2 linked regions of the Drosophila melanogaster genome follow. The protein of the gene in region 1 binds, or shares a complex with, the protein of each later gene. Each region holds a gene or a part of one and is shown in the gene's direction. Other genes may lie near its edges.

Region 1 (7,141 bases):
TTCTGTGGACAAAAGAGTTGAATGAACTATGCCCTCTAAATTTCGTCTGTTTTATGCTTTCGGAGTGAAAGAAAGAAAGAATGATGGAAGGCCAGCGAGAATCAGGGTCACAGTGGACATGCCACGTGTTGAAGCAGCCCAAATCTTCAAATGGTTCTCTTTCGCCCCCCTTTTTGGACCATAGAATTCGGAATCGTGGCGTTGCGAGATTTTCAGGTGATAGTGCGAAACTGCACCACTGTGCAATAATGAGAGTGAGAGTGCGGAGAAGAGGCGAAGAGAGGAGGAGAGTGCGCACAAGCGGGATGTGAGAGGGGAGTGGGTGAGGGAGCAGGAGGCGAGTGGCCAATCGCAGCTGGAACACATCAGTCAATAGGAAAATAAAAATAAGCCTCAGATCAGCCGAAAATTGGGTGTACTGATAAGAATGTTGGCTGATAATGCGGCAATTTATGATCCCCGATGGCCATGCCCACTCTCTTTTCGAAAGCAAAACGTCTGCTCTGCTCGGAGAAATTTAGCGGCAACTGGAACCCGCATGGCAACGCTATGGGAAAAGTGCAGCTATAGCTGCCACCAATACCAGTGCAGAACGGCGGAATACACAACCGTTAATACTGACACGCACACATATGCACGAAACGCACTTTGCACTACTGCAACAGCAACAATAATTGCGACAACGCGATAATTAAGGTGCGGACCATTAATTTATGCTCACTCCAGGCTTCAAAAGCCAGTTGAATAGCGGAGAAATTTCGGACGAACGCCGGCTAACGCTTTCCATCTCTTTCCCGCAGCGACGTCGCGTTGGCAGCGTCCTCCTAAAGAACTCTAACTTCATTAACGGCTAACAGTTCGGCCACTTCTACGTGAAGAGTTTTACATTAGTTAGCTGCAGTGTAATAAGCTCATATCATTCTTTTTAGCACCGATTGCAATAAATTATTCACTTTTAGACGGCAGTTCTACAAGTTTATACCTTCGTTTTTCTTTTCACTAAAGCAATGTGACCAGAGTACGTAATGTACTAAGCCAGACCACTTAACTTAAACAGTGTTACCAGAGGTGTGAGAAAATTCAAATTTATAGTGTTTCTGATTTCATTTAAGTTTGAATAATAAGTTTGGGTTAAAAAAGCTAACAAAATAAATATATTACCTATATACTAGTTTTCCAATAAAACTATAAAAGATAAAACAACACACATTCAACATTCACCTTTTATCGATCTGGGATCAGAGCCTTATGCTTGGAATCGAGTGATATACTTAAGTCGCACTCACCAACAAAACCTCCTTTAAATCATCTAGGTGACCTTCGTTTCTCTTGCTTCCCTGCAGTTCTTCGTTCAGATTCGCCACATCTTGCAGAAAAGAGTGATACACAGTCGACGTAGCCAACTCATGGGTAGACGTGGTCCAATTGTCGTCTAGGAAAAGATAGAAATTCAATATTAGATAACACATTAACGTTAAGTGTGGGTGGTACTTTTAAACAAAAATCCAATTAAATGAATTTTCACAGCTGTAGATCGTACTTATAGCTTTCAGAAGCAGTAGACTAGGCAACTGTTGCTTCTTGTAGTTCATGCGCCACACCCTGAGGCAATCATCTCTGCCGCTGCTGAGCAGACAACTAATACAGCCTTCGATCTCATTAGTCTGCTTGGATCCGGCGCTTATTTCCCGGAAGAGCGTAAGGAATATGTTGGCATGCCTCACAGGACTGTTGATATAGTGTTGCTACACACAGGAGGAAGAAAGGTCAGTGAAACAATGGGACAACTATCAATTGTTTTCGTCCTTACAAGCAACAAACGCGCACTACGCTTCAGACTTTGCTGCCATTCCTTGGGCAGGTGGTTATAGGGTGCATTGAGCGCATTGTAAGTGGCAAAGAACTCCTGCTGGTTGATCTGCAGAGGATCCGCTGTCTTCCGGACAGCTGCTGCACTCAGAGCCCGCTCCATATACTCGACCACAAACTTGGTGTACTGCTTTAGCTCCAGGTTGGGCAGCATCAGGTTCTGCCACACGCGAACGCCCTCGTTTAGGGACTGATAGCCACCTTGTCCAATTGCCCACAGGATGCTCAGGCAGATGTTGCTACGGTTCTGATAGGAGTTCCTTAGCAACGCAGTCTTGGCCAGGTTCCTAGAACAAATGTTCGGCCAGTTTTGACCGATCAACTGTAGGATGAGCTTGTAGCCTGCCACTGTCTGATTGTTGTTTAGATCCGTTGACATGCTATCCAGCAGGGAGTAGAAGAAATACTCCAGGTTTTGTTCGCCCACACTGCCCAGAAACTCCACAATTGAGTACTTGAGCGAGGCGCTGGCCAAATTGCTGGGATACTGAGCCGAGCGGCCGGAGAAGATGGGATCGCAGTCATAGGACAAGGCTTCATTGAAGTATAGCGCAATCTGGGGGACAACGATAGGTGAGCAAATATTTAGGCACATTTCCTTTAGAAACATACATGGCTTAACCAGCGCAGCTCGGAGCCAGGACAACTGAGCTTCACCTGCTCCAGTTGGGCAGCAAAATCATCCCGGGTGATGTTTCTCAAGGCCAGCTCCAGAGTCTTTGGCTTCGATGCGGCTGCCGACGTGGTCCTTTTTTGGGTAGAGGCATTCTTTGCGGTGTGCTTTTTAACTGGCGACTTATTGGCTTTTGAGGAAGATGAGGCACTTGAACTAGATTTCGCAGGGGAATGGGACTTGCTGTTGTTGTTGTTGCTGCTGCCGAACAAATTGCGATACCGCTGAGTTGGCACTGCGAAGTGAATAAAATGGCAGGGGCAAACATGTAATCGCATTGCAAGGTGCACCTTTTAAAAGATTCTTACACAGCTCCTCCAGTTTGGGCAACTGGGCCGCGATGCGCTTCTGCTCGTTGTGTGCAGACACCTTCTTGTCCAGATTCTTTTGCTTGCGCGACTTGGAGACCACCTCCCATTGTTCCGACATGTTGCGAGCAGTCTTTTTATCGATGGTATTAAATTAAATCAGAAAATGCAGGCAGCCGGCAGAATAAAAAGCAACAAGCCAAGAGTGTGGCCAGCGCAAGTGTAAAGTAATGTGGTCTACTTTCGGTAGTTGAATTACCGACCGCTTTTTAATGTGATTTTAAAGCAGCTGCCTGCTTTTTGTTGTGATACATGTAATAGATAAATAAATAAATTTAGCTATGTTTTAAATGTGTTTGAATAACTGCCAATGCAGGAGAAACCATTTTCTTTACCAGGGCTGAAACGCATACCAAAGTTGTAAAGCCTCTGCGATATATACTATGTTTGCTACATTGGTCACACTGCTCTGCTTGTTTACATTTACAAATTGTAAAATATTATTATTTAATAGCTGCTTTAAATCATAGTTTCTATATATAAATAACAAAAATGGCTGCCTCGCGATCACGGCGCAACAATGCCGGCAACAAAATAGCTCATTTGCTCAATGAGGAAGAGGAGGACGACTTTTACAAAACGTCCTATGGTGGATTTCAGGAGGACGAAGAGGATAAGGAATACGAGTGAGCACTAATCATTTGAATAAATTTAAATGCTCAAGCCATATAAAATTCACTCTGCAGGCAAAAAGACGAAGAGGAAGATGTGGTTGACTCCGACTTCAGTATCGATGAGAACGACGAGCCCGTTTCGGATCAGGAAGAGGCGCCCGAGAAAAAGCGGAAACGCGGTGTCGTTAACACAAAGGCTTATAAGGTGCGAACCATTCTTAAAATGCGATAAAATCCTGTGATTACTGAATGTGTTTAAATGGTACATATGATTTCCGCAGGAAACCAAGCCTGCAGTCAAAAAGGAAACAAAGGCAACGCCGGCCCTGCACAAGAAACGACCTGGTGGTGGGGTAACGAAACGGCGGCCACGTCCACGCTTCACGGTCCTCGATTCCGGCCGCAAATCCATACGCACTTCCACGGCCATCAAGACACAGGCTACCAAAATACGCCTCAAAGAGTTGGACGATGCCCGCAAGCGCAAAAAGAAGAAGGTGCGCGTGGAGGACTACATGCCCACGCAGGAGGAGCTGCTGGAGGAGGCCAAAATAACCGAGGAAGAAAACACTAAATCTTTGGGTGGGTATCTAAAGCAACCAAGGAAGCAGCTATTTTACAATTTGCTGTTGCATTCACAGAGAAATTCCAGAAAATGGAGCTGGAGAAGAAGAAATCACGTCCCACCAAGCGCACGTTCTCCGGACCCACGATACGCTACCACTCACTAACCATGCCAGCGATGCGAAAGCCCACTCGCGGAGCAAACCCTGCGGTCGATTCAAAGGATCTTGCTGGGAAGTGCGAACGCACATTCGTTACAATCGAGAACGATTTCAATGACAAGGTGTTTCAAAGCCTCTTCCGCCACAAGGCGCCTCCCAAAGCCAGCAATGGCATCTGTCCAATCACCAGGCTGCCAGCCCGTTACTTTGACCCGATCACACAGCAGCCATACTACAGCATCCAGGCCTTCAAAATTCTGCGCGAAGCCTACTACATGCAGCTGGAACAGCAAGGCGGCGGCAGCGAGCAACCCGAACTGGCCAAATGGCTGGAATGGCGCAAGCTGGTCAAGGAGAATCGTCTGAAGGCTTCGGCAGCTGCCAGCAAAAACGGAGATAACTAATAATGCTATCAATTTTATAGTTCATTAAGCTATACGTATTTTTCGAATAAAAAGGTATAAGAAATCACAAACTACTCTTTGGACAACCCTCGTCAATTTCAGGCAGTACCAAACGATTACCTAATATATTTCATACAATGGCGACAATGGAAAAGTAGTACATAGGGTATTTCCCAAAACGTTATCTTTAAAAAGTATTTATAATCAACGCACAGTCTGTTTTGATTTTATTTATCAGCAGCATCCGGTTTATTAACTTAAGAAGTTGATAAAACAGTTTACACAAAAGAAAGTTTATCTTGCTAATCCAATTTGTATATGTAAAACCCATTTATTACCTTTTAGTATCTAATTTTAATTGCCGCTCTATTTAAAAGTTTAGTTGTCTAAATAATAAAAGCGTCGCAGTCTTCTATTAAGATTATTCAAAAGAATTGTTTCGCTTAATTTGCGTCAAATTGATAAGCACACAGCCTCTCTTTGCAATATATAACAAAATCTGGAGGAAATGCGGTTGTTCCGACACACAATAACTAATTAATAAGTATGAGACATTACATCACATAAATTATTAACCCATTGTATTCTCTATTTATAATCTATGGGCGAAGTATTGTTCATTTCCGAATGAAATTGTTTTTCAATCCTAAACTCTTACAGGGAATTAGTTGAGTGGGCCCTGCCGCAACCTTGTCGCATCTGTATGTTTTTGTCGACTTATCAAAATCAACGCACGCGCTGGCTATTTGAATTGTCGGAACGGGAACGGGACAAGGTATTGTGTGAGCAAGATTTAGTCATACCCGTGAGCTTAGATCAAACGAACGTCGTGCGTTTAAACGGAGAAATGAAGAGCTGTGCGGCGATTGGAGTCCTTCTGGTACTGCTACTTCAGTACGAAGTGGTTAGGACGGACAGCGATAGCAGCGACAGCAGCAGCAGCAGCAGTGGAGAGAAGAAGCACAAGCACTCCAAGACGGAGCACAAGTACAATTATCCTGCATATCCTAATCCGGGCTATCCTCCGTATCAAGAAATGGGAGGCTATCCTTCATATCTCTACAATCCGTACATGCCGTATCCTCCGTATCCTCAAATGGGAGGCTATCCTTCATATCCCTACAATCTGTACATGCCCCCACCACCACCACCACCGCCACACCCGCAACAAGCTCCGCCACCATCAATGTATCCACCCGACCCGTCCGGATATCCAGGCGGCTATCCACCGCAGGGGGCTCCCGGACAGAATCCAGTTAACAACCCAAATGCGATCCCCAATCAGCCTCAGGCACAGCAGCCTGCCAGCGGCCCGGGATCAGGGCCTGCCCCGAACTATCCTCCAGGCGGCTCGAGCGTTATTAATCATTCCCTTAAGGTCAACAAGGAATACAACGAGGACGGTCACCACCAATCTTCAACGTAGTCGCAGTCGAGATACAATGTTACATGAAACTTTAAACGTCGGATTGGGCCTCAAGTTTCAAGTCGGCCTTCAATACAATGTAGCAAAGTCGAATTAAAGATTTAAACAGTACTTGGAATTTTCACAATTTTCACAGTCTTTGATTAAATAAAAGAAAGAAATGTTCTCTTACCATTGTAAATAAAGACATTACTGAAAAGGTAAAACGAGATATTTTAGTATCACATATATTTCATAATATAAAAGGTACTTGAATATGTTTTATACACAAATGTACAAAATCATGTATGTACATATTAGGCAGTCTACTTTTCCACTATTGTGCTGTGGTTATACAAGTGCACGTGGTAGACGTAGCTGTTCATGCATTTCTGGATACTGAGCACTAGTGGGTCAAAGGGATGCCAAATAAAGGCGCACAATTCCCGTGGCGCCAAAGGATTTAAATGCCGGCGGGCCGTAGCGTGCAGTCTAAACTTGATTGAATCCGTGGCACGGTCAAGAAACACAATAGGATCGTTGCAGCAGCGATGGGGTTGCTCCAGAGGAGACACGTACCGACTGTCGTATCTAAATTCGTTGAACTTTAGATAGGGCGACGAGGAAAGGCTCTGGGAGCTGAGTGGAACGCTGGGGTTGAAGCGCAAGGCCGTATGTCGATCGACGGAGACCGATTCATTGGAATCCGCAAAGGTATGCCTTAGGAAAAAATGCATGGGCAATGAAGGTGCATCACCGAATTGCAGCGATCGATCATTGCTCATGTAGTCATTGAATTGCAGTAAGATTTGCAGCAGGTTGACGGAATATTCCGGATAAACGCCAACCACTTCTTCGCCAGTTATGGTGTAGAATACATACAAGCGGCGCGGTGATGTAGCCATGGGCATGGTATCGGTACCATTTGGCCGCTCTTCATAGCGCAACATTAGAAGTTCATTGTTCACCAGATGCATTCTCTCCATGATCATGTGTTCTATCTAAATGAGATATGTAAGGATGTGAAGACCGTTGTCACTCTTTATAATGTTACTTACATACTCAAAGTTTTTATAAAACGAC
Region 2 (6,528 bases), on another chromosome or scaffold:
GAACAGAACTTTAAATCCATGATTCGTAATGCGGCCTAAGGCTTCCGTTGAATTGCATGGATTCTGTGATGCTACCTATCAGTTTGTGGAGCGTGCTTATACTTGCAATCGAAGACTTATAGATAATAGAAAATCCATCTGCCCTGTGCCAAGCCAGGAGTTACTTCACTATGGGCCTTAACAATTCCAAGATTAAAACTTTCCACAGCGGTTTAATTGGCTGATCTATTCGTAAACGTCAAGGAATTAGACTCGTATATTGTGGAGATCCAGGAGATGACGCAAGACATGTCCTGACTTGTCTTGTCGCAAGGATGATTTCGATCAGATTAAATACTAAATACTTGTCTCTCAAACGTTGAGTTCTGCCTCGGCGTCGAGATATATTGTAAAAGCCCGTAGCCATTTCTTCCATTCATTTCGGAGGGTTGCCCGTCGATCGCCTCGCACTGAAACGGTTTTATGACAATGGTTTTATTTCCAATATGGGACCTAGAGTTGGGGTTTATAACGAAAACAACTATTAGATGTTTAATTTGTCTTGTAATTATTACCCATCCCTAATTCAATAATATCCCCGATTTACATTTGGGGATTAGTTGTTTTCGTTTGTTTGTTTGTTGTTTCTTCTTTGGCTTGCGGAGGGTAGCCTGCTCCACCCGACCTTTATATTATTATTATTTTTTTATGGAACTCAGATTAATTACCTAGCTCTTTTCTTAATAGCTGGTAATAATTTCTTTTCTTCTATTTTTAGATTTATTTGTTTATGTGTTTTTATTAATTTCTTTTTTTATATGTTTTGGCTTGTACCACAGCTCCTCTCTGTAGAGCTCGGCTTCAAAATTCTTTATCTTGCTTTTCTTAATATGCTTTGGCTTATACCATTACTCAGCTTATTTATTTCAGTTCACTTGGCTGTCGGTTGAAGTCATTGAAGTCATATTATTAATATTGCCTTCAATAATTAGAAGTCTTGCAGTTCGATCGCTCGATCGACCGCACTGGAGTGTTAGGTGTCAACGTCGCGTTCCGATGCTTAGTTGATTGCAATGCCGGCCGCCACAGGGATCTTTTGAAATATACACTAGTCGGCATAAGTATTTTGACAAAAAAAAGCTGCACACTTGTCAGTGAAACTTTTAAATGGCTTGATATGGTAGTATTGACTATTTTTTATTTTTTGTGTGTAATTAATATAAACTTAAAAATGAACAAACGAAATTGTTTTTATTTAAATTTAAAAAGTTATAAGAAACTTAATGAAATATGATGATTTTTTGTTTCGGCATAAGTAATTTGACAGGCCTTCAATTCAAGGTAAATAAGTCTAAATGAAGCTGGATTAGCTCCTTATTGAAAAAATGAATTTGGTTTATCCGTTTCTTTCGTCATCTATGACGATATGACCCACCATTGAATATTGAATATTGAATATTGAAATATTGGCACTCCTTTATTTATTATACCATTGAAGTAATAATCCGAGCATTTCGACCGACTATATTAAAGAACATAATAAAAAATCTAGTTATACCGAATTATTACTACATCCACAAATAAACGGAGCTAAATGTTCTTGTGATTAAATCCATCACTAACAATACACATTATTTAGTATTTTGTATGTTGATTTCCCTACACGTAAATATTTATAGAATAACACAGTTATTGAAATAAAATAGCAATAAAAAACATTTAAATTTAACTTAAAGATAGACAAGCCTGTATCCTGCAGTAAACATGCAAATAAGATGGAATTAATTCCGTGCCAATTTTTAACACTGAAGGTTGTGAAAGGTTTAATATAGATGCATCTCTGTGGGAGCTCTATATTATATAAAAAATTGAAGCATTTCTAAAATATTTTTGCGTTCCTGTTTCAAAATTTCTTATATGCTATCTTGACAAACAATTAAATCGAATATATCGGTCATACAATTTCCGACTATTCCTTTTTGTTTACAGCGGTCAAGTTGTTGAACGAGTTAAAAGGCACAATGTCGGTTATTGAAAATGTACCGGTGAATACATTTCGGAATTATTTAAATATTTTAAATGATTCCTCTTCTAAAGACGAACTTAAGCTGAAAGCTACTCAAGAGCTAAGTGAACACTTTGAAATGATAATGCAAAGTCCGGCATATCCGTCGTTCTTAGATAATTCTTTAAAAATATTTATGCGGATACTTCAGGATGGCGAACCTCAGTTCATTCAAGAAAATACAATGCAACACGTAAGTTTTAAAATTCACCATTGCATGGGCCTTAAATGAAGAAACCATGTTTGGTTGAAATAACTGTCAATGAATTTCGGCTTAAATATATGTAGTTATCTTTTAAAATGCAAAGTTGAAAATATTTTGTGTTTACATTTGTAACTCCCAATAATCGGAACTTTTATGTTTGTACAATACAATTATTTTATTAATATATTTTATATACTTATTTATGTAAAGCTATCTATATAGTACTATAGGGAAACCTTTCGGTGCCCTAGTAACAATCTTTTAAAACTGAAAACCACTGTTTCTGATATTTAAAACGACCGTGCATTGTGTTTGTGCTACGCAACTTTAAGTTTTGCGCAGATATTATGCATACATTGCCAGAAGAAGTATTATTTAAAGCATAACTTTGATTGCAAAAAAAGAGTATATTTTTATTATCGATGTCGACTTCATTAATTTTAAAATTTGAAACACATTTATTATTTATTACGTCCGTAGGTTTTCTTAGGTAGTATTATGTTTGGCAAACCAATAAAAATTTGAAAGTCACATAAAATAAAAAATTCAACAGATTTCTCAAATATGTGGGCGTGGGGTGTTTTGAACAGCTTGCCGGCGGGGTAACATGCGACTAAGTCTCTGTAGACTCGGCTAGTGATCCTGATCAGCGGAAGTTTCTTAACCCATGTTGTCTGGGGCCTGCTTACATATTCAGCACTGTTCTCAGATAAAAGAATAAGCAGAGAGGGAGACTCCACCTAATGCAAACAAGCAGTATCCAAAGCGGAGTTACCGAATAATGTAAACTAAAGGTTTTTTTTTTGCTTTTACTCTACGAGCAACGGGTATAATCATATATAATAAAATATGTCATCAAAGTTAGGCTTTAAGTGTTTACGCTGATACGGATGATACTGTTCCATAATGACTCCATTTTGCATCAGTTGGCGGTGGCTATATCTGGCACGGATTAGAAGATTTTTAATGTGCCTTCTTATATTCACCCGCCTCACATCTCAAATCTAAGAAATAAATTTTACTAGAGTTTTGTCCAATGATGTCCGAAACGTGCGATCAAAAAAGGGAAAAAATATCATTGTTTTAAGACATTGCATGGATATACTTTTTTGCGGGATAAGGAAAATAATGGTTTATACGAGATTATGCTGCAATCTACAATGTCGCCGTAGAACCTGTTTGCGTAGTACCGCCTCAAATTGAAAAGGAGCAGATTTTTGCAAACTCGCATTGACTTTTTGGGACATGCCATTGAAGGTGGGCAAATGTGGCAGGCCAAAAAATATTAAAGCTGTACAATCATTTCTGGGGCTAACAGGATTTTTCAGAAAATTTGTTCCAGGATATGCTTTAATCGCGCGTCCGCTGAAAATTTTTTTTGAAAAAAGATGCACTTTTCTACATTGGTGAACATTAAGCCATACAGCAATTAAAAGACGACTCAGACATTCCCGTACGGCAAATTTACACAAGAGATGCAGAGACAGAACTACACAGTGGCTCTTTAAAGGATGAATTTGGAGCTGTGTTGCGGCAGATGGTGGACGGCAGTTTTCATCCGGTTTATTATTGGAGCAGGAAGACTTCCGAAGCCGAATGAAAGCGACATAGCTATTACTAAGAAGACAAAGCAGCGTACATAGGTATGAAGAAGTTTCGTCACTACCTGCTAGGAATATAGTTCAAGCTCATTACAGATTGTGTCGCTTTTTAGCAGACTACAACCAAACAAGACGTACCGAGAGATGTAGGACCATGGATTATGTAAATTCAAGACTTCACTTTTACAGTAGAACACCGTGCCGCAGAAAAAATTAAGCATGTTGACTGCCTTAGTCGCTTTCCATAGAGTATGAGGGTTACTACAGAGATTACGTATTAAAAAAGCCCAGCAGGACGACGATTACACGACTGGTCAAGTATTTTTGGCTTTCCAACATGTATTGTAATCGATACAGGCTCAGCATTTACCTCGATTGCGTAAAAGGAGTTCACAGAAAGGCATAATGTAAAGCATGTATGTATAACGAAAGGAGAGGCAATGGCCAAATATTGTAGAAAATGTAAATCAATTTTGGCAATCATATCCAAGCTGTCGGCAGCGGAACCATCCAAGTGGGTCAAATATGTAATGGAAGTACAACAAATAACGGAAGCTGCTGTCCGTGAGGTTGGAGATAATCGATGAGCTTCAGAAACAGAAAAATCTCAACGAGCTCGAAGAACTGGCTTTTTACGAAATTGGAAATAATTTGATGTATTCTCGTGACTCTTAAATCCTCTGTTCGGGGGAGTTTTTAAACTGGAAATATCGAACAAATCGCTGAATTGCAATATCGCCCAAGTAATAGCTGGACACGCCGAGTCAGCCCAAATAGGAGGAGCATTTGGAAGACTTGAAGCAGCAGGACTCTGGAGACTGGATTTCGCATTGGCAAGCTATGCGCCATAGGTAGAATGTAATACAACATCTGAGTTCCGTAGTTCCGCCCTTCTTGCCCCAAGTCTCAGCCCTTCAACATGTGCCTTCTGTAATGCTCCTGGGAGCGCCCTAAAAACCTGACCCCGTCTGATCAATTAAAATTAGCAAAAAGGTTCGAACTTTTTTCTGATTCACATCTGCACTCTGCGTAACGTCTGCTACTCTTCTTGCTCAGAATCTTAGTAAGGATGTTATGCTCGTAGCCACTGCCACCGTATTAGCGATGAACCGATTAGGAACATTTGTTTCTTGTCGCGCTCTTCTCGACTCTGGATCTCAACTGCACCTTATCCATCCATATTTGCATATCAGCTTTAACTTAAGAAGACGAAACCGGAGTACCGGAGTAGGCGATTTCAGTTTTGATACACATGGTTCGTCATTAAATATTTCAATGTGAACTCAAACGTCTAAATGCTCGACCGACATCACTTATGTTATTGTCTCCAATATTACCTCATGTCAGCGCAAACAAAACATTCGAAATCGCTATACAAATAAATCGACTTTTTATTTCTCGAAAAAATCGAATAAAAAGCTATTTAGCTGATTTGATATATGAAAACACGTGGCAGATGTAGCGGCTAATTCTTGATCTGATGATTTCTTAGTACAGGTAGTTTACCTTGCGAAAACAATGGATTCGTTTGGTGGATTTCTCTGATTTTTCTTTTATTACGATACATGTGTCGATTGTCACATCAAAAGTAGTATGATATGGATCTTCAGGTTGAGTAAGATGTGCTACACTGGGCAAAAACACACTTTCAGGGTTGTTGCAAGACATGCACCATTTTATCACGTAGCCAATACGTCATTTTTGGCTTTATAACCCTTTGGCATTTATTCTGAAAGCGCACAACTTTTGTATCCATATTTTTTCAATTCGGACCACTTTACAAAAACACAGAATCAAAACATTCAAGCAGGCTGTTGTACCGCAAATGAGCAGTCTGTCCGCGTAGAACTTTAGATTTTGTGTGGGAGACCGAGAAAATGGGTGCACAGTGCACTTTATGTGCCTACCAAAAATAACGCCAAACAGCACTGCGGACAACGCATGAAAACCAAGAGAGGATGCTATAGTCGAGTTTCCCGACTACCAAATACCCGATACTCAGCTAGTGGAAATGCAAACTCGAAATTTCATAATTTCTGGGATCTCGATAGATTTTGGTGAATAAAATGAGAAGAAATTTAAAAATTGTTCAAAAGTGTGGGCGTGGCAGTTCTGGGCGTTCTAGTGGACGTGGCAACATGGGTCAGCCAACTTGCGCTGCGCCATTGTCTTTAGAATCTAAATACTTAATCCCAACCTCCTAGCTTTTATAGTTCCTGAGATTCCGACGTTCATACGAACGGACGGACAGGATCAAATCGGTTCGGCTACTGATCCTGATCAAAAATATATATATTTTATATGGTCGGAAACAATTCTGTCACATAATTTTCAACGAATGTAGCTTACCCTTTTACACTACGATTTACGGGTATACCAAGTGAGTGTGCTATAGTCGAGTTTCCCGGCTATCTGATAGTGGAAGTAAGAATGTGAAAAGTTAAAAAAAAGGTTCAAAATTGTGGTTATGGCGGGTTTGACACTCCCACTCTAACGCCAACAAATCACTCAACACTGCCACGCCAAGACTTTTAAACAATTTTAAATTTTTTCTCATTGAAAAAGGTCACCTTTTTTATTTGTTGAAATTTTCTAATTATATTATCAAAACCGGACGCAGAAAAAATATTTCGATTTTACCTAATCCAGCTTCTTTGAGCTTTTGGCTTCGGTCTTTG

Evidence for each region. The genes of interacting proteins can lie anywhere in the genome.
Region 2: YL-1 (region 1) and Nipped-A share a complex: the UniProt entries of both Drosophila melanogaster proteins name them as parts of the tip60 chromatin-remodeling complex.

The regions. Positions count from the first base shown.
Region 1 is NT_033779.5:10,967,152-10,974,292, forward strand, and holds YL-1 (YL-1), read left to right. Parts: upstream 1-3,291; 5' UTR 3,292-3,402; coding exon 3,403-3,536; intron 3,537-3,596; coding exon 3,597-3,729; intron 3,730-3,805; coding exon 3,806-4,106; intron 4,107-4,165; coding exon 4,166-4,653; 3' UTR 4,654-4,942; downstream 4,943-7,141. Other genes in the region: Tmem214 (transmembrane protein 214), read right to left, coding at 1,287-1,432, 1,541-1,745, 1,811-2,425, 2,482-2,777, 2,851-2,971; CG16743 (uncharacterized protein), read left to right, coding at 5,357-6,079; abo (abnormal oocyte), read right to left, coding at 6,385-7,059, 7,117-7,141. UniProt on the Drosophila melanogaster protein: Part of the Tip60 chromatin-remodeling complex which is involved in DNA repair. Upon induction of DNA double-strand breaks, this complex acetylates phosphorylated H2AV in nucleosomes and exchanges it with unmodified H2AV.
Region 2 is NT_033778.4:5,246,438-5,252,965, reverse strand, and holds the start of Nipped-A (Nipped-A), read left to right. Parts: upstream 1-1,943; 5' UTR 1,944-2,000; coding exon 2,001-2,237; intron 2,238-6,528. UniProt on the Drosophila melanogaster protein: Part of the Tip60 chromatin-remodeling complex which is involved in DNA repair. Upon induction of DNA double-strand breaks, this complex acetylates phosphorylated H2AV in nucleosomes and exchanges it with unmodified H2AV.